2 linked regions of the Stegostoma tigrinum genome follow. The protein of the gene in region 2 interacts with the protein of the main gene of each other region in a biochemical or structural test. Links are inferred from orthologs where the notes say so. Each region holds a gene or a part of one and is shown on either strand. Other genes may lie near its edges. The genes, in order: relaxin-3-like and rxfp3.

Evidence for each region.
Region 1: the proteins of rxfp3 (region 2) and relaxin-3-like form a complex in vitro, tested with the Homo sapiens proteins (2 studies listed by BioGRID, with this or other methods). The link is inferred for Stegostoma tigrinum from reciprocal best matches to the Homo sapiens genes RXFP3 and RLN3.

What each region holds. Positions count from the first base shown.
Region 1 is NC_081388.1:24,054,486-24,065,803, forward strand, and holds relaxin-3-like, read right to left. Parts: upstream 4,247-11,318; 5' UTR 4,130-4,246; coding exon 3,955-4,129; intron 1,204-3,954; coding exon 929-1,203; 3' UTR 723-928; downstream 1-722. UniProt on the Homo sapiens protein: May play a role in neuropeptide signaling processes. Ligand for LGR7, RXFP3 and RXFP4.
Region 2 is NC_081354.1:149,600,276-149,610,927, forward strand, and holds rxfp3 (relaxin-3 receptor 1), read right to left. Parts: upstream 4,940-10,652; 5' UTR 4,891-4,939; coding exon 3,646-4,890; 3' UTR 1,894-3,645; exon of another isoform or gene 1,440-1,893; intron 409-1,439; 3' UTR 9-408; downstream 1-8. UniProt on the Homo sapiens protein: Receptor for RNL3/relaxin-3. Binding of the ligand inhibit cAMP accumulation.

The sequences.
Region 1 (11,318 bases), on a different chromosome or scaffold from region 2:
CAATGTGTGTGTGTGCGATTGTACCCTAGTGAGAGTAAATGTGCATATGGGACTGTAGCCCAGTGAGAGTCAGTGCGTGTATGGGACCCCGTACCCCAGTGAGAGTCAGTGTGTGTGTGAGATTGTACCCCAATGAGAGTCAGTGTGTGTTTGGGACTGTAACCCAGTGAGAATCAATGTGCGTGTGTTACTGTACCGCAGTGGGAGTCAGTGAGTGTGTGGGACTTTACCCCAGTGACAGTCGCTGTGTTTATGGAACTGTCCCCCAGTGAGAGTCACTGTGTGTGTGTGCGACTGTACCCCACTGACAGTCAATGTGTGTGTGGGACCCCGTACCCCAGTGAGAGTCAATGTGTGTGTGTGACTGTACCCCAGTGAGAGTCAGTGTGTGTGTGGGACTGTACCCCAGTGTGAGTCAGTGTGTGGGACTGTACCCCAGTGTGAGTCAGTGTGTGTGGTTCTAGGGAACAGTGCGACTGGTTAATAATTATTTTACTGCAATGGGAAGTGAATGAATTGCTCCCACTTTAACATTGAAAAATGAAACTTGAGTCTGTTTTGATGCTGTAGACATTTTTTATGAAAAGCAGACTGTACAAACATGATGGGAACATATCAAAACTTTGACTGTAACCTTGAATAAGAACAATGAAGGTTTGATGGCAAACCAAAAAAAATGTTCATCTCTAGTCAAGACATCAAACATTTCAACCAATGCCTGTCTGTCAACAAGTCAGCATTGTGCAAATTGCTGGTTTCAATTTTGATCACTGTTCCTGTATCATGCACAGATATTTGTACTGTGCTTTTGTGGCCTCTGAGGCTTGAGATCTTGGCAAGAGAGCTATTTGCGCATTTCACCCCAGTCCTCAGGCTTCTGTTGTATGTTGAGGTGTACAGGAGGTTGTGGATGATGTAGAGGTGTACTCTAACAGAGTGAGCTGATCTCACTTTTGGTGCAACCCCATTTACAACAAGCACTGGACAGACCTGCCACCACATCCCTCCCCTTCCTGTTGGTGCTTCGCAAAGCCTCTAAGACATCATCAGAAACGCTTCTCCTGCTTCGGCTGTCTCCCCCAAGTCGTACCAGCACTCTCCAACTCTCTGGCTCATAGATGGTGACATCTTCTGAAAGAGGCCAGCCATCAAAATTGGTGTCTTTTATCGTCTTCTCCAGGTAGTCAGGGTTCTCAGAGATATCTGGAAGATAAACACACCACAACCCATAACACGGAAACTCATCATTAAATATCTTTTTTCTGAATAAGGGCCCTGACCCAGAACATTACCTTTCCAACTCATCATTAAATCTTCTCCAATAAAATTCAATAACCTAAAAGCTGGTTTGCAGTGATCTTCTTTCTTCAGGATCTCAAATTTTCTGCAGTACATCTGAGGACAGGTATCATCGAATTGAACTTGTTTCAGTGATAGGTGGCTGATCTTTGTCTCAATTCAGTCAGTACTGAGATACAGCGGGAGATGCAGGGATGTGCTTGCTACTCCCAAGCCTGTGACAGGTTTCTAACCACCCGTCCTCTCAGCTGAGCTTACTGTTCATCTGCGAGCCTGGACGGTGAAACCTAACAGAATATTCAATCACAAGTGACTTTATAATTGATCTTTCTCAACATACACACTTGGCTGCAGGATTTACCAGTGGGTAACGATTTGGAGAGGGACCCACAGTTAAACTTACTGCTTGTGAAGCCAGAGTTCTGAGAAGAATGCTGTGGCATTTTCCCTTGTTCCAGACAGGATCAGCTAGCAATAATTTAATTCAGATGTTCTATTCAGCCAGTTCCTCTTCTAAATGCATTTAAGAATCTCTGCATTATTTACAAGCCTCAGTGCAGCCACATGAACCCCATTTCAAATATATCTGTTCTCAAAAGCAGCAATGAACAAACGTTGGTGCTCAACCTCCTATCTCCCCACAACCAAAAACCAGGGCAGGAAGCCTGAAAGAACAGACTGTGAAAAGCTAGTTGACAGGGCTTGATATCGGATTCCGTGGATCAGAAATTGGCTTGCTGAAAGAAGACAGAGGGTGGTAGTTGATGGGAAATGTTCATCCTGTAGACCAGTTACTAGTGGTGTACCACAAGGGGCGGTGTTGGGTCCACTGCTGTTTGTCATTTTTATAAATGACCTGGATGAGGGCGTAGAAGGATGGGTTAGTAAATTTGCAGACGACACTAAGGTTGGTGGAGTTGTGGATAGTGACGAAGGATGCTGTAGGTTGCAGAGAGACATAGATAAGCTGCAGAGCTGGGCTGAGAGGTGGCAAATGGAGTTTAATGCAGACAAGTGTGAGGTGATGCACTTTGGTAGGAGTAACCGGAAGGCAAAGTACAGGGCTAATGGTAAGATTCTTGGTAGTGTAGATGAGCAGAGAGATCTCGGTGTCCATGTACACAGATCCTTGAAAGTTGCCACCCAGGTTGACAGGGCTGTTAAGAAGGCATACAGTGTTTTAGCTTTTATTAATAGGGGGATCGAGTTCCGGAACCAAGAGGTTATGCTGCAGCTGTACAAAATTCTGGTGCGGCCGCACTTGGAGTATTGCGTACAGTTCTGGTCACCGCATTACAAGAAGGATGTGGAAGCTTTGGAAAGGGTGCAGAGGAGATTTACTAGGATGTTGCCTGGTATGGAGTGAAGGTCTTACGAGGAAAGGCTGAGGGACTTGAGGCTGTTTTCATTAGAGAGAAGAAGGTTGAGAGGTGACTTAATTGAAACATATAAAATAATCAGAGGGTTAGATAGGGTGGATAGGGAGAGCCTTTTTCCTAGGATGGTGACGGTGAGCACGAGTGGGCATAGCTTTAAATTGAGGGGTGAAAGATATAGGACAGATGTCAGAGGTAGTTTCTTTACTCAGAGAGTAGTAACGGAATGGAATGCTTTGCCTGCAACGGTAGTAGATTCGCCAACTTTAGGTACATTTAAGTCGTCATTGGACAAGCATATGGACGTACATGGAATAGTGTAGGTTAGATGGGCTTGAGATCGGTATGACAGGTCGGCACAACATCGAGGGCCGAAGGGCCTGTACTGTGTTGTAATGTTCTAATCTAATTCTAATCTAATCTAATTCAATTTCAACCATCAGTCCTGACACATCAGAACTGACAAGTATCAGGACTGGAATGAGTGTGTAATTCAAACATGACAGAATTGTGATGCAGTACTGTCTGAAAGATGATGGACTTTTGGCATTATCACTGGACTATGAATCCAGAAACCCTGGTAATGTCCTGGGGACCTGAGAAGGAATCCCACCATGGCAGATGAATTCAAAAACAAACATCGAATTAGGAATCAAATGATGACCACAAAACCATTGTTAATTTTGGGAAAACCCATCTGGTTCACTAATGTCCTTCGGGGAAGGAAATTGCCATCCTTACATGGTCTGGCCTACATGTGACTCCAGACCCGCAACAATGTAGGTGACTCTTAACTGCCCTCCAGGCAAATAGGAATGGGCAGTAAATGCTGGCCTAGCCAACAATGCCCTCATCCTGTGAATGAGTGAATGAAAGATAATTTACTTTGTCTGTTCCACCCAGGCTCTGAGCTTCTCAGCAGTGCCAATTGTTTCCCCTTCATTGGAACAGCACAGACTGAGATCCACCTGGGCTTTGGCTGCAGCTGCATGGCAGCCCTGGACATTTGATTTCTATCTCATGCTGGGGGAGATCTCACTCTGCCCACTTGGGCATGAGCATCAGCTAACTAGGCAGAGACTGAGAGGATCACAGCTCCTTTAGGAATCCCACTGCTTTTCTTTTCATTGTTCCCACTGGGATCTGGCAACTAGCAAGTAACCCACTAGGATCTGGTAACTCGTGGATAGTCCATCTGCTGGGATGTTCACTCAGCGCTGTGCTGGGTGCTATTTTGCCTGTCAGTGGCACAGGCAAAATGTTCCCTGGTAGCTCTTACCTGCTGGATTTCTTCCTGTCCTTTTCCACCTGGAGCCTCCGCAGGTGAAAATGACTGCCCGGATAAATTCTCTCCCACAGAGTTTTACTCCAAGAACAGGTTTATGAGCATTAGCCTCCAGCTGAAACTCTGAGATGACCAGCCAGAGGGCCAGGATAAACCAAAACCTCTGCATGACGTGGACTGTCTTTCTTATCCTGTGAGACTGAGGATGCAGGAGTGAGGGGAGAATAGAGAGCACAAGGAGACAGAGAGAGAGAGGTTGAGGAGCGAGAATGAGGATCCCCGGTGCCAGTGCTGAAGCTAGAGCCTGTGCCTGCCTTACTTAAAGTCCACTCTATTTAAACCCTTGTTCATATCTGATAAACAGATGTAATTACTGAGCTGTCACAATACACATTAGGAGCTTATGGTTTAATGATCAGCAACAGAACTGCTGTAAAGGTCTCTGCCTGTGCGGAGACAGACACACTAAATGTTTAATATGATCTGCACAGCTTCAATGTTCTTATCAAAGAAAATATTAATCATATATAAAAGTATTCAAAGGAAAATCCTGACAATAAAAAGTCATGCGATGAGTTGCTATTTATTAAATGTTAAGACCTCACAGCTTACGTCATACATTTTATCACAAACCTTTGTTTAAAATTTTTGCCTAATTCTAACCTATGCACTCTCAAGCTCTTCTTGGAAGGGTTAATTCTTCATTTTCAATGGAGACCTCACTCAAGCATCCAGCCTCACGCTGTTATCCTTACACAACAAACTGTTCCATTGGTGAGGCAAACTGCATTCCTGTGACAGGCAGGGGGTCATGGGGATGGGAGCTGTTCATAGAACATAGAACGTTACAGCACAGTACAGGCCCTTCGGCCCTCAATGTTGTGCCGACCTGTCATACCGATCTCAAGCCCATCTAACCTACACTATTCCATGTACGTCCATATGCTTGTCCAATGACGACTTAAATGTACCTAAAGTTGGCGAATCTACTACCGTTGCAGGCAAACCGCTCCATTTCCTTACTACTCTCTGAGTAAAGAAACTACCTCTGACATCTGTCCTATATCTTTCACCCCTCAATTTAAAGCTATGCCCCCTCGTGCTCGCCGTCACCATCCTAGGAAAAAGGCTCTCCCTATCCACCCTATCTAACCCTCTGATTATTTTATGTGTCTCAATTAAGTCACCTCTCAACCTTCTTCTCTCTAATGAAAACAGCCTCAAATCCCTCAGCCTTTCCTTGTAAGACCTTCCCTCCATACCAGGCAACATCCTAGTAAATCTCCTCTGCACCCTTTCCAAAGTTTCCACATCCTTCTTATAGTGCGGTGACCAGAACTGTACACAATACTCCAAGCGCGGCCGCACCAGAGTTTTGTACAGCTTCCCCGTAACCTCTTGGTTCCGGAACTCGATCCCTCTATTAATAAAAGCTAAAACACTGTATGCCTTCTTAACAGCCCTGTCAACTTGGGTGGCAACTTTCAAGGATCTGTGTACACGGATACCGAGATCTCTCTGCTCATCTACACTACCAAGAATCTTACCATTAGCCCTGTACTTTGCCTTCCGGTTACTCCTACCAAAGTGCATCACCTCACACTTGTCTGCATTAAACTCCATTTGCCACCTCTCAGCCCAGCTCTGCAGCTTATCTATGTCTCTCTGCAACCTACAGCATCCTTCATCGTTATCCACAACTCCACCGACCTTAGCGTCGTCTGCAAATTTACTAATCCATCCTTCTACGCCTGCATCCAGGTCATTTATAAAAATGACAAACAGCAGTGGACCCAACACAGACCCTTGCGGTACACCACTAGTAACTGGTCTCCAGGATGAACATTTCCCATCAACTACCACCCTCTGTCTTCTTTCAGCAAGCCAATTTCCGATCCAAACTGCTCTATCTCCCACAATTTCATTCCTCTGCATTTTATATAATAGCCTATTGTGGGGAACCTTATCGAACACCTTGCTGAAATCCATATACACCACATCAACCGGTTTACTCTCATCTACCTGTTTGGTAACCTTCTCAAAGAACTCAATAACGTTTGTGAGGCACGACCTTCCCTTCACAAAACCGTGCTGACTATCCCTAATCAATTTATTCTTTTCTAGATGATTATAAATCCTATCCCTTATAACCTTTTCCAACACTTTACCAACAACTGAGGTAAGGCTCACTGGTCTATAATTACCAGGGTTGTCTCTACTCCCCTTCTTGAACAGGGGAACCACATTTGCTATTCTCCAGTCATCTGGCACTATTCCTTTAGACAATGACGAGTTAAAGATCAATGCCAAAGGCTTGACAATCTCCTCCCTGGCTTCCCAGAGGATCCAAGGATAAATCCCATCCGGCCCAGGAGACTTATCTATCTTCACACTCTGTAGGATTTCTAATACCTCTTCCTTGTGAACCAATCCCACCTAGTCTAGTAGCCTGTTTCTCAGTATTCTCCTCGACAACATTGTCATTTTCTAGACTGAATACTGTCGAAAAAACTTCCACTGGAAGCAAAATTGAGTGGGAGCAGCATTCACAAAGGAAAGATCACATCCCCCCATCCCTGCTCCCACTAACAGCACGAGGCTTTCAATATCCGCCTCATCACTCACATAGGGACTTTCCTTATTAGGTGACATCTCCAAAAATACAGTGTTCCCTCAGCACAGATGACCCGACAGTGCGGCGATCCCTCAATACCGACACCCTGAGAGTACAGTGCTCCCTCAGTACAGACCCTCCCACAGTGTGGGACTCCCTCAGCACTGACCCTCCGACAGTGAGGGACTCCCTCAGCACTGATCCTCCGACAGTGCGGCACTCCCTCAGCACTGACCCTCCGACAGTGTGGGACTCCTCAGCACTGACCCTCCAACATCGCTATGTTTTCTCAGTCCAGTACAAATCTGCCAGAATTATGGATCCTGAATTAATTATCTCTCTCTGAGACTGGCTCAGTCAACATGAACTTGAATTCTAGTATGTTTGAGTTGGCATTAGACTGAACAGCCAGTATATCCAGAAGAAACTCTCTGAAACTTTTGTAGTACCCAGAAAAGCTCCAAGATGCAGCAATGGCATCAAGCACTGAGTTCTCTGAATCAATTTCCATTTTGCTCATGTTCAGCGTCAGCACAGTCGCTATGGCCTGCTGGCTCTGCCCTGGGTTCAGGTTTCACGAGATTGCTTGCACAAAAGACACTGACTTTACATTCATTGTGCATCCCATATTTTCAATGGACCATGCAATCTCAGAGGTTCATTGTGAAAGAAACAGGAACAGAACAAGCAATAAAATCTTAGAACACAAAGAGTGGTAGTGGACGGAAAATATTTAACATGGTGCTCAGTTACGAATGGTGTACCACAAGGATCTGTTCTGGGTCCCCTTCTATTTGTGATTTGTGTACAAGATTTGGATGTAGCAGTGGAGGGGTGGATTAGTAAGTTCATGGATGATACAAATGTGGGTCGAGTTGTGGATAGTGCGGAGGGCTGTTCTAGGTTACAAAGGGACATTGATAGGATGCAGAGCTGGGCTGAGAAGTGGCAGATGGAGTTTAATCCTGAAAGATGTGAGGTGATTCATTTTGGAAGGACAAATTTTAAAGCAGAATACAGGGTTAACAGAAAGATTCTTGGCAGTGTGGAGGAGCAGAGGGATCTTGGGGTTCATGTCCACTGTTCCCTGAAAGCTGCCACCCAGGTGGATAGAGTTGTTAAGAAGGCGTATAGTGTGTTAGTGTTCATTAATAGAGGGATTGAGTTCAAGAGCCGTGAGGTTATGCCCCAGCTATACAAATGCCCCTGGTTGGGCCACATCTGGAGTATTGTGTCCAGTTCTGGTCGCCTCGTTACAGGACTGATGTGGAAGCGTTGGGAAAGGTGCAGAGGAGATTTACCAGGATGTTGCCTGGAATGGAAGGAAGTTCTTAAGAGGAACGGTTGAGGGAGCTAGGGTTTTGCTCTTCAGAACAACAAAGGATGAGAGGTGACTTGATAGAGGTGTACAAAATGATCAGAGGTATAGATAGAGTAGGCAGCCAGAGACTTTTTCCTCGGGTGGAAGTAGCTATTACAAGGGGCATAGTTTTAAAGTGAGTGGAGGTAGATATCAGGGAGATGTCAGAGGTAGGTTCTTTACTCAGAGAGTGGTCGGGGCGTGGAGTGCATTGCCGGAGAGGGTAGTGGAGTCGGCCACAGTAGGGGCATTTAAGTGGCTGTTAGATAGGCATATGGATGATAGTATAAGGTAGGGGTGGAGGTTAGAGCGACCTTAGGATTAAGGTAAAAGTTCAGCACAACATCTTGGGCCCAAGGGTCTGAACTGTGCTACATTCTATGTTCTAATAAAAGAGATGGATTATGAAAGACAGAGAATTAGACAGAGGTAAAAGTTCAGAGCGAAACACAGGTTAGATAAAGAGGAACTGCGTATGGAGCCAAAGAGGGGCTGGCAGCCTGAGAGAAGGAATGGAAAGAAAGAATGAAGGAAAGCACAACAGATGGAGAGAAAATCAGGAATGTGTGTGTTTGAGAGAGAGGTGCTTACTGCAGACATATAGGACACATACTGAAAGGAAAACTGTGTATTGGAGGAACAATAAAAGTTACTCCTTGTCTTGTGAGTTTTTTGGGCAGAGTATCAGACTAAACTAACACAGTGTGAATATCAGTTAGAGCAATAAGTTGTGAAGAAAGCCTCTTTTCTATATGTACACTCAAGGCAGGGTTGAAGATATAAACTGATCATCAATGACAATATCAAGAGAGGAAAACAAAATTGATGAACTATTCAGCAGGTCAAGGTCAAGCTGCATGTGTGGAAAAAGCAATAGATTTCATATCTCAGGATATTATGTGTATACTTCTTCGAGCTGCTGTTAGACCCGCCCTCTTGTGCCCAGCACCATGTGTTGTAATATCACGATGAGAGAACCAAGACATTAGATCTAAGCTCTGCAGTCCTGCCAAATCCAGCTGTGAATGATGGTGAACAATTAAACAACTCACTGGAGGAGGCTTCACAAACGTGTCCATTCTGAATGATGGGGGAGCCCCACGCATCAGTGCAAAAGGCTGAAACATTCATAATAACTTTTTACCAGAAGTACCAACTGGATGATCCACCTCGGCCTCCTGCAGTGGTCCCCAACATCATAGAGGCCAGTCTTCAGCCAATTCGATTCACTCCATGTTGTGTCATGAAACAGCTGACGATATTGGACGTTGCAAAGGTGATGGCTTCCAATCACAGTACTGAAGGTGTGCTCTCCAGAACAACTAAGTGCCTAGCGAAGCTGTTTCAGTATAGTCACAAAACTGGCATCTACCCAGCAAAGTAGAAAATTGCCCAGGTTTGTCCTGTTGTTACAACTCGTAGGGGTAGTGCGCTGGAAATTGAGCCTCAGAATTCTCAGAGTAGTTACAAATGTGAAAAGCTTTAAGTAACTTTTGCGCCACAAAAATACAATAACCATCACCAATAAGAGACAATCTAACCACCATCCTTGACATTCAATGGTGTTACCATCACTGAATCTCCCCCTAACAATATCCTTGGGGTTACTATGGACCAGAAATACAACTGAATTCACCACATGATCACAGTGGCTACAAGAGCAGGTCAGAAGCTGGGAATACTGCGGTAACTCATCTCCTGACACCTCAAAGCCTGTTTAGCATCTACAAAGCACAAGTCAGGAATATGTTGGAATACTCCCCATTTGCCTGGACGGATGCAGCTCCAACACCATTCGAGGAGTTTGACACCATCCAGGACATAGCAGCCCGCTTAATTGGCACCACATCCGAATGCATCCACTCGCTCCACCACCAACACTCAGTAGCAGCTGTGCATACTTATATATAGAACATAGAACATAGAACAGTACAGCACAGAACAGGCCCTTCAGCCCACAATGTTGTGCCGACCATTGATCCTCATGTATGCACCCTCAAATTTCTGCGACCATATACATGTCCAGCAGTCTCTTAAATGACCCCAATGACCTTGCTTCCACAACTGCTGCTGGCAACGCATTCCATGCTCTCACAACTCTCTGCGTAAAGAACCTGCCTCTGACATCCCCTCTATACTTTCCACCAACCAGCTTAAAACTATGACCCCTCGTGCTAGCCATTTCTGCCCTGGGAAATAGTCTCTGGCTATCAACTCTATCTATGCCTCTCATTGTATACCTCAATTAGGTCCCGTCTCCTCCTCCTTTTCTCCAATGAAAAGAGACCGAGCTCAGTCAACCTCTCTTCATAAGATAAGCCCTCCAGTCCAGGCAGCATCCTGGTAAACCTCCTCTGAACCCTCTCCAAAGCATCCACATCTTTCCTATAATAGGGCGACCAGAACTGGACGCAGTATTCCAAGTGTGGTCTAACCAAAGTTTTATAGAGCTGCAACAAGATCTCAAGACTCTTAAACTCAATCCCCCTGTTAATGAAAGCCAAAACACCATATGCTTTCTTAACAACCCTGTCCACTTGGGTGGCCATTTTAAAGGATCTATGTATCTGCACACCAAGATCCCTCTGTTCCTCCACTCTGCCAAGAATCCTATCCTTAATCCTGTACTCAGCTTTCAAATTCGACCTTCCAAAATGCATCACCTCGCATTTATCCAGGTTGAACTCCATCTGCCACCTCTCAGCCCATCTCTGCATCCTGTCAATGTCCTGCTGCAGCCTACAACAGCCCTCTACACTGTCAACGACACCTCCGACCTTTGTGTCGTCTGCAAACTTGCTGACCCAAAGATACATAAAAGACTTGCTGACCCAAAGATATATAAGATACACTGCAGAAATTCACCAAAGATCCTTAGACATCCAGGACCAGATACAAGGGAACACCACCAGCTGCAAGTTTCCCACCAAGCCACTCACCATGTGACTTGGAAATATATCACTTGTCCTTTATTGTCGCTGGGTCAAAATCCTGCAATTCCCTCCCTTAGGGTATTGAGAGTCAATGTATAACACATGGAATGCAGCAGTTCAAGAAAGCAGATTACTATCACTTTGTCAAGAGCAACTAGGGATGGAGAATAAATGCTGGCCAGCGTCAAATCCCATGTCCCACAAGTGAATCATAAAAAATTAGTAAAATTATCCAAAGTCCCCAGTTTGCTTGATTGACAAAGTCAATTGAAAAGAACATTCATCAGGTTTTTGTACTTAAGAAGAAAATAGCTTATGAATAAATTATCTTTAACCAGTGGCAACTCAGAAATATGAAATATAACTCTGCAACTTAAACTCTATAACTTTTTTAAATACCTCCTTCACAAACATACTGACGCATAAAGATGGACAATACATTAATATAAAG
Region 2 (10,652 bases):
TGCTCCTGAGATGCTGCTTGGCCTGCTGTGTTCATCCAACCTCACATCTTATTATCTTGGAATCTCCAGCATCTGCAGTTCCCATTATCTCTAACTTTGTATGGAGACTGATTTGCTGCTTCTCCTCACAAGAATTCTCTGTGTTACTGTTTATAACTTTGTCTGCTCTGTCTTTGTACCTGTGCATGGATTGTCTTCAACTTCCAGTTACTCTGCAAGTAACTCTCTTCGTGACTCTCCTTCTGCTCCTCTGCTGGTAGCTCCGTTTGTCTGTAACTCTCCTTTGTGTCTTTTAGCAACACAGCTTCCTATTGGTGCCCCTTCAGGTCACTAGGATTTTATTTATCAAGAAATTCACAATTGATTCCTTTACAATTGATGAAATATCTCAAAATCCTTTCAAACGTTCTGTAAAAGAATTACAGATTCAGATAAAGAAATTAAAAACTTTCCTCCCTACACTACTTTTACTCAAGGTTGACACAAGATCTAAACTGATGAAGTAACCAATGCTGGAGTGATGAAAATGAGAGATGTGGAAGAGGGCAAAATCAACGTAAAGGAGAATTCTTGGAATGTCGTAGGAAATTCTAGAGGTTGGATTTGAGTACAAAATTTGAACTTTATGTTTGAGCTATTGTTAGATTGAAAACCATTGAGCCAGTGAGTGCAAGGATAAAGGTGACTTGGCGAGAGTAAGGTTACAGCAGAAGAGTTTTGAATGAGTTACGGTTTACATAAGGTAGAACATGAGAACTATATCAGTAAAATTTAAAAACTGACAGTAAGAAATAATTTTACTCAACAAATGTTCTTCTGTGCAAAGCAAAAAGATGCAGTGTTGGTTCTGATTCATGTGACACAAAGAAAAGCATAAGAAGTAGAGTCCTGTAAGTAACTTCTTCCACTGAGACTAATTCAATAAATGTGCTTATGGCTTCCCCACAAAGATCACAACAGCTCTAAGGTCTGAAGTTCCCTCACTGAACTATTTATTCAGTTATGTTTCTTTCTTCTTTACTACACGCCACAAAATTTCTTGCTTTCAAATACATTCTGTGTCAAACTTTGTCTTCTAACAATTCTGTTAAGTGTCTTGTCAAGTTTTACTAAAAGATGCTATATAAAAGCAACTTACTGTTATTGTTTTAAACATTGTCTACAGTAATATTACAAGTTCAGATAAATTCAGTTCATTGAAACACAATGCTCCCAAAAATTGCAAACCAGGAAAATTCTCAGTATGCATGTAAAATCTTTTAATCACGAGCAGCATTTCTTTTTGAGTTGGAATGGTCGAGAAAGGAACATCTATTTAGCGATAATGGGAACTGCAGATGCTGGAGAATCCAAGATAATAAAACGTGAGGCTGGGTGAACACAGCAGGCCCAGCAGCATCTCAGGATGCTGCTGGGCCTGCTGTGTTCATCCAGCCTCACATTTTAACATCTATTTAGCTGTACTTTTCAATTTTTGATTCTTACGCAACTGGAAGTTGAATAGAAAATATGAGTTAATTTTTATGATTCACTTTAGCCAGCTCCAAAGTAATTTTTTGTCTGGTGTTACTCCTGAGATGTTTGAGCCAGGTGCCTGTAAAGGGTTTCACGCTGCTTGACATGCTGCATTCTGAAGTCAGACTGGCTCCAAGCTCTGAAGTTCCAATAGCACTAGCAACTTCACTATGCACTCAAAACTATTTATGACAGTACAAAAGTAGCAGATTAAATCAAAGTTGCAATATGCCTCATTGACATAAAGGAACCACTGGCTTCAAGTTAAAGGAACAGATATTTGAAAAGGAAACATAATCATAGCTACAGATAAGAAACAAGGGAGTGGGACTAAATGGGTAAGTATAAAATAGATAGGAGTGAACAAATTTCCTTTACCTGCATTGTATGATTTGGTGATTTAGTATTTTGCCATTGTTGACTGTAGCTCTTCATGAATGACTCTGAAACCCAAACAGTGCAGAACTACTTTCTAGAGCAACTAATGCACTTCAGTCAAATTATCAACTCAACTTTTAAATTATATTAACTTTAATTCTGATATGTGTCAATGTATATCTGAAACTGTTTTACATCAATGCAAAATGAATAGTATAGTAATGCTCAATTAATTAAGTATTTTAGCACTATCATTACCTATTTAGCAAAAATAGTAGTTAATACTTACAACACAGTTTTGGTTCATAACTTTAATTTCCAATTATAAGTGCTAAAACTGGTGAATATGAAAATAATCAAAATTGTGCAATCTTTCAATCATGAATCTTTGTTGTCTACATTATTATTAAGGAACATAAATATGCAGATAGAGCTCAGCAGATCTGACAGCATTTAGGAAGGAGAAAACAAAGTTAATGTTTCAGGTCCAGTGACCCTTCCTCAGAAAGGGTCAGTTCTGAGGAAGGGTCACTGGACCCGAAATGTTAACTCTGATTTCTCCTTCACAGATGCTGCCAGAATTGCTGAGCTTTTCCAGCAACTTTGTTTTTGTTCCTGATTTACAGCATCTGCACTTCTTTTGGTTTTTATAAACAAGCAGTTTGCGAGTATAATGGTTTATTTCTAACAAATAATATCTGCAGAAGAGGAGTTTTAGCAAAGCTACTATTGTGAACAGTGAATCCTGAAAAGTAAACATGGCACTGTATCAGAATCTCCAGAGGTCGGGGCGTTTAGATTTTTCATCGTCACGTGGAATACGAATGGTGAATTACTTGAAGATGGAGAATTTTGTAACGAGTACCTCAGACTGAAGAAGGAGGATGAACGTAAAAGACAGACAAACCAAAGATAAACTGTAATTTGGAGCGCACATTGATTGCAATTTGAAGTGAAAACGATTCCGTATCAAATAGGGCTTCCCGGAGCTGTGGCAACCTCTCACACAGATGCTGTGATTTCACCTGATGCCGAATAATTACGCTTTTCACAGAATGAAATTCATATATTTTCTGTTCAACTTGTCACCCTGCTTAAGTGAAAACATACAACTTGAGTTTGTGTCATGATATTTACGATCATTCACAGCCTTTCATTGTTCGAGAAGACCACAAACTAATTTAGAAGATCGAACTCAAAAGTTTCCAAACTAGACACGGCGATTATTTTTGTTCTGAAAAGTGCGAGTGCCCTACTTCGTGGCGTATGATGCTGTACAGTAAACGGAGCTGTACCTGGTTCCAATCCGATTATTATTTCACAACAATCTCACGGGATAGGATAATGTTTGGCTGTAATGACTGTCGCCTAGCGGTTCTGCTATTAACTGGATTCCTATGCGTTAAAATCAATTGCGGCTAACTTCGGAAATTTCGCTGTTAAGGGGGCGCGTATAAACATTAAAACAGAAAGTGACGGAGGAACTCAGTGGGCGCATCTGTGGCGAAAGAAAATAGCTAACATTCTGTGTCCGATATGACTGTATGCTCGCACCGCTTGTCTTGGGATCAGCACTGCTGCTGTTTCAGCCACACAACGATTAACCCAGAGCAATTTGGTCTGGAGAAACGATCGAACTGCAATGGCAAAGTGACGAACTACAATGGCTTGAGAGTTGGCTAAACCTCGGCAGACTTACACTATATCGTTCTTCTGAAAAGCGGATCAATTTTAACTCATTCCACAGCCTCCTTAATAGCGGGGCTCCGCAGAGTTGGCGGGCAAGATGTCATATCGCCCGTTGCACATCACAACCCCCGGAGGGTAATACAAAATCTCCGGCTGGACCGGGTTTTTCGGAATGATGACATGCCTCTGCTCATCCTGTTCTGGCTTAGTGCTGGCTGTGAAGGGCCGCATGTGTATAATGGTGGGGGAGGACATCCTCCAGAACATGCCTTTCAGCGCCTTGCGGAACTCTCTCCTCATCAGGCAGTACAGGATGGGGTTCAGGCAGCTGTTAGTGTGAGCCAGGCAGACGGTGATGGGGAAGATGTAGGACTGGGCGATGTAGTACTCGGAGGTGAACTGAACGGCGTTGAGTTTGATCAGGACTCCCCAGAAAGTCAGCGCCTGGTTGGGGAGCCAGCACAGAAAGAAGGACAGAACGACAATGGTGACCGACTTGGTCACCTTGGACCTCCGGCTGGCGCTGGAGCTGCTGACATTCCTGTTGGTCACGTAGCGCAGCAACAGCAGGTAGCAGACCGTGATGAGGACCAAAGGGATGAGGAAGCCCAACAGCACCTTCTGGATCTGGTAGAGACCCAGCCAGAACTGACCGGAGCCGTTGTGGTCCGGGAACTTCAGCACGCACAGCTCCTCGTTGGAGATCCTGGTGGTGGTGGAGAAGACAGCGTGCGGGATGCTGGCCAGCACAGCGGAGATCCAGATCACGATGCTGACCCACATGGCCGAGCAGCCGCTCATCTTGCTCCTGGGCTTCAGGGCGGAAGCTACCGACCAATAGCGGGCCATGCTCATGGCGGTGAGGAAGAAGACGCTGGCGTACATGTTCATGACGGTCACCAGGGAGACAACCTTGCACATGACCCGGCCGAAGGGCCAGCTGAAGTCCATCGCCGTGTCCACCGCCCAGAAGGGCAGGGTCAGCACGAACTGGAAGTCAGTGGCCGCCAGTCCGGTGACGAACAGGTTAATGGAGGATTTCTTCCAGCCCCGCCTGCTCTTCATCAGGTAGAGGACCAGCACGTTACCGAGCAGCCCCAGAGCGCACACCGCCGAGTACACCACCGAGATGACGATGCGGGCGGCGGCTGAAGTGCCTCCCGCCTCCAAGTCGCCGCTCAGCGGCTCCCCCGCCCGAGACTCGTTGCTCCGGTTGAAGGCGGAGAGCCAGGCGAAGCTAACGGGCCGAAACCGGCAGCCCTGCTCCGCAGCCGCCGTCCGGTTGCTGGCGATGAGGTCGAAGTCCATCCCATGGTCTGGTCTGCTGTGACCCGGCGCACTCCCTGCTCCGTCAGCTTCAGGCGGGAAATGTCCATGGCAGAGCCCAGAACAGGCAGTTTTATACTAAACTCCACCCCCTCCCATCACCATCCACATCCACAGCACCCCCCCCCCCAGCACACACATACACCCCATCACCTCCCCCTGACACAGCTCTGCGCTTGCGTCCTCCCATCCCAGCCTGGGATCTTCCCCCGAATTATTCTTCTTCACGTTTCAGTTTGGAGACGAAGTGAGATCACATAAAGCACACACACACACACCTTCCCTGCATTTCCATCGGCCTGAGAGCCCAGAGAGAGTGGATACACCGCCCGCAATATTGACTCGTTCTCCCAAACAGAACTATTTACAAATAATCCCCACCTCCTCCGCCAATCTCTGCTCCAGTTTTCTGGCGGTTTGGACAACAGCAGCAGCAGCATCTCCTGGTGTTTACTGCACTGAGAGAGTGCGATTCCCGCTCGCTCTTTACGCGCCTCAGATTAAGGCGCGGCCAGTCACCTCACCGCGAAGTGCCAGGAGAGACAATGGGATTGGGTGTTAGAAATGACCATTTATTGAGGTCTGTTCCCTCTCCGCACACCACCTTCCAAGAAACGACACCGGGATCCTTTCAGGGTCGTGCCGCCTCAGAGGCTCGGAGGGGATCTTGAAGTTAGAAACAAAATCGCTGGAAAAGCACAGCAGGTTTTCCAGCATCTGTGGAGACGAAATTCAGGATTAACGTTTCGAATCGAATGATCCTTCCTCAGAACTACCACAGATGCTGCCAGGCCTCCTGAGCTTTCCCAATAATTTCATTTTTTTCTAATTTAGAGCATCCACAGTTCTTTCGGAGTTTGGAAGTTGGTTACAGAAATTGTTAGCGCTGGCCGCAGCTTTGTGTTCCCACCTATTTATTGCCGAAGTGATTAACTTTTGTGGGGTGGCGGCGTGGGGAGAGGGACAATACATTCGGCTAGAATCGCATGCACTCCTCTTTTTGGAGTTCCACGTCGCTTCGTTTCAGTGCTCTTTGCTTTCCCACTTGGACAAACAACGAGTTAACAAGATACAAGAGCCGAAATTGCTGGAGAATCTCAGCAGATCTGGCAGTATCCGTGCAGAGAATCCAGTGATCCCCACAACTTCCTTCTGATGCCGCCAAGACCTGCTGAGCCTCTTCAGCAATTTCTGCTTTAGTTCGGCATTTCCACGGTCCGCAGATCTTTGTTAAAAGTTGATGAGCCAGCCTTGTTTTAACAAGTGATCCCTGTTCGGACATATATCCTGCAAGCTCCTCTTTTCAACGTGTACACAGTTTCGTACTGGAGTGTCGCTCAGCATCTAGATATTTTTAAATAGACTTTTAAATAGTCTGTTCATTCTGACTTCACGCTTATCCATACCCCACCCCGTTCTTATTTCATTCTTTTCCCTCAATAAAGCCTCTCCAGTTGTTCATGAAAATCTTGGATAAAGTGGTGGGGAAGACAGAGGGAGAATGCGATGAAAATCCGGTCAACACGAGGTCAGAAAGAGACACAGTTAGCGCCTGGAGAAAGAGGACAACCAGGTCGACGGTGAGAGCGTTTCACTTTGGGAATCAACGGCACTGGATCCGGATGACCACTTCCCACTATCGCGACAAAAGACCGTAGAGAGAGCAGTGAATGTGTTGACAATATTCCGACTGCCGGAGAATGTTGGAGCATTGCAGGCAGCAGAGCCGCGCGTCAGGACCCTGCTGAATTCCGAGCGCAGCGGTCACCTTGCGAATGGCCCGGTGTAATTTAAAGTTCCCAGATCAATCCAACTGCGCCTGCAACCCCTAAACAAAAGTCTGATAAGAGAGTTCTGACTCAGTTAACCTTAATAGCAACTCAGGAAACGTTAGACGAACATAGAACATTACAGCGCAGTACAGGCCCTTCGGCCCTCGATGTTGTGCCGACCTGTCATACCGATCTGAAGCTCATCTAACCTACACTATTCCAGGATCACAGAATTTTACTAAACAAGGGCCACTCAGGCCATTATGTCCACGCCAGCATCTTGGCAATAAAAACCTACTCCAAACCCTACCTAAGATAATAAGGCGTAGAGCTGGATGAATACAGCAGGTCAAGCAGCATCAGAGGAGCAGGAAGGCTGGCATTTCGGGCCTTGAAATTCAGAAATCTGAAGAAGGCTCTCGGCCCGAAACCTCAGCTTCCAGCTCCTCTGATCCTGCTTGGCCTGCTGTGTTCATTCAGCTCTAAACCTTGTTGTCTCAGATTCTCCAGCATCTGAAGTTCCTACTATCTCCAAATCCTACCTAATTGTTAATCTGACACCTATTCCCTAACTGCACCTACCTCAATCCCTTTCAACCACCGGACGCCTGACAAATAAGATCCCTTCATCCACCGAACACTATTCCGCCCTTCCCAACTGAGCGCTGCCGGGCCTACTGTTAACCTACTACCCAAAAATGGTTAGATTTCGACCATCATTTCCCCCCACCACTAACAACTTCATCACAATAAGCCCTTTCCCATGTGCCAGAGCAGGCACCTGTCACCCTGTTTTACCTGCCATTGCCTCATTGCACCCATCTCCAGCCCCGATTGGACATTCCCCTAACCACCACTACCAACCGACCTCACGTCATCCGAGAAGTATTTCTCAGAAACTTGAGAAACGGCGAAGCTAGTTAATACACCACTACTATACTGTAGCAACTTGAGCAGTGTTAACCGCAAACTGGATGCTGCCCCAAAGCTAAAAAGACATTTTGCTCATCATCTAAATGAATAACATGATGTATGTATTTCAGTGCCAGTGTGACGCTACACTGGAAAGACTGGCAGAACTCAAAGAGCAGCAAATGCCTCCAGGCATTCACAACAAGCACGGTAGGAACCATAGAATGTGAGGCTGGATGAACACAGCAGGCCAAGCAGCATCTCAGGAGCACAAAAGCTGACGTTTCGGGCCTAGACCCTTCATCAGAGAGGGGGATGGGGGGAGGGAACTGGAATAAATAGGGAGAGAGGGGGAGGCGGACCGAAGATGGAGAGTAAAGAAGATAGGTGGAGAAGGTGTGGGTGGGGAGGTAGGGAGGGGATAGGTCAGTTCAGGGAAGACGGACAGGTCAAGGAGGTGGGATGAGGTTAGTAGGTAGCTGGGGGTGCGGCTTGGGGTGGGAGGAAGGGATGGGTGAGAGGAAGAACCGGTTAGGGAGGCAGAGACAGGTTGGACTGGTTTTGGGATGCAGTGGGTGGGGGGGAAGAGCTGGGCTGGTTGTGTGGTGCAGTGGGGGGAGGGGATGAACTGGGCTGGTTTAGGGATGCAGTGGGGGAAGGGGAGATTTTGAAACTGGTGAAGTCCACATTGATACCATATGGCTGCAGGGTTCCCAGGCGGAATATGAGTTGCTGTTCCTGCAACCTTCGGGTGGCATCATTGTGGCAGTGCAGGAGGCCCATGATGGACATGTCATCAAGAGAATGGGAGGGGGAGTGGAAATGGTTTGCGACTGGGAGGTGCAGTTGTTTGTTGCGAACTGAGCGGAGGTGTTCTGCAAAGCGGTCCCCAAGCCTCCGCTTGGTTTCCCCAATGTAGAGGAAGCCGCACCGGGTACAGTGGATGCAGTATACCACATTGGCAGATGTGCAGGTGAACCTCTGCTTAATGTGGAATGTCATCTTGGTGCCTGGGATAGGGGTGAGGGAGGAGGTGTGGGGGCAAGTGTAGCATTTCCTGCGGTTGCAGGGGAAGGTGCCGGGTGTGGTGGGGTTGGAGGGCAGTGTGGAGCGAACAAGGGAGTCACGGAGAGAGTGGTCTCTCCGGAAAGCAGATAGGGGAGGGGATGGAAAAATGTCTTGGGTGGTGGGGTCGGATTGTAAATGGCGGAAGTGTCGGAGGATAATGCGTTGTATCCGGAGGTTGGTAGGGTGGTGTGTGAGAACGAGGGGGATCCTCTTGGGGCGGTTGTGGCGGGGGCGGGGTGTGAGGGATGTGTCGCGGGAAATGCGGGAGACGCGGTCAAGGGCGTTCTCAATCACCGTGGGGGGAAAGTTGCGGTCCTTAAAGAACTTGGACATCTGGGATGTGCGGGAGTGGAATGTCTTATCGTGGGAGCAGATGCGGCAGAGGCGGAGGATAGTCAGCCGTTCAGGCTTGCTAACTGTAAAACATCATGTCCGAATGTGGAAATGAAACAATCTGGAGTGTGCTAAGACTTACACTGAGAGCAAACTAAAGATTATCAGTCGAGCTTACAGGGTTGTGTGCTTGCTCATACTGAATTAAGATCAGAAACCCACAAGATGTAAGAGCAGAAGTAGACTATACAGCCTCTAAGAAATAATGGGAACTGCAGATGCTGGAGAAGCCAAGATAGCAAAGTGTGAAGCTGGATGAACACAGCAGGCCAAGCAGCATCTCAAATGCTGCTTGGCCTGCTGTGTTCATCCAGCTTTACACTTTGTTATCTTAGACTATACAGCCTATCCAGTCTGCTCCACCATTCAGTGAGACCATGACATATCCAATTATCACCAACTCCACTTGCCTGCCCTTTCTTCATAGCACTTGTTTGCTGATTAAAAGTCTTTCTTGTTCTTTACCGCAGAGGTCTGCAGGTTGTTTTATTTACTATATTAAAGCATTCTTCAGATTCAATACCCTCTGAGAGAAGAAATGCCTCAACTCTGTCTTAATTAGATGATCCCACACTCCGGATGCTTACAGATTTTCTGCCTTGTATTAACTTGCCTTGCTTTTTGAGCTTTGACACCTCAGCCAGAGCTACCAGAAACATTTACTTCTGCCTTGCCTTCCATTTAGCACATACAAAAAAGAAGGAAGCTTGTTTTCTGAAGAAGGGTCCAGGCCTGAAATGCCAGCCTTCTTGCTCCTCTGATGCTGCTTGGCCTGCTGTGTCCATCCAGCTCTACACCTTGTTATCTCAGATTCTCCAGCACCCACAGTTCCTACTATCTCCATCTCAGTTGTCAGTCGAGTTAAGGAAGGTAACTTTCATTACAAGGAGTCCTGGCATAGTAAGCCAAGAGCAGTTTTCAATATTGGTCCAGGGGCTCGAAGTAGTCAGTCAGCACTCGAGTCAGGATGCTGAGGAACCAAATGGGCTGAGCAGTCTATCCCCTATCCTGACCATTTCTGCCATATTGGAGGTTATTTTTATTCTGGAATGAGAGCAAGGCAGGTACTAAGAGAGAAATAAGCGAGTGGCAAAGCTGCTACTTATGATTTCGGTGGAGAGATGTCACAAGTGAATGTAGGTATTATCGAGGGCATGCAGGATTTGTACTGTCCAGATTTGTGGTGTAATGACCTCCACTGTTAGTCCCAGGCAGGAGGAAGTTCCGTGTCTGCATCACGCCATCTATCAGGATATTCATGTCCCTGCCTAAAGAGCTATGTGTCACTGTCCCCTTGTCTGCTATGACTTGGGTAAACCTCAGAAACCATGCAAGGCAACTCTGACTGACAGTGCTTGTCCAGGTGCACACTGGGCTTTTAAATATGTTGGGGCTGCAAGCAAGGCATGTCAATTCTGGAACATCTGCCAAATGGCAAGTTGCTTTGAAAATGGTGAATGGTAAGATGCAGCTGGAATTGGATTTGAAGGATGTCACAAATCAGGGTTGCTAGTACATGATGCAAGAAATGGCAATTTGCCTCACAGTGGATGCAACTCAGACCTAACCAAAATTCATAAAATTTAGCTCTTAGTGATT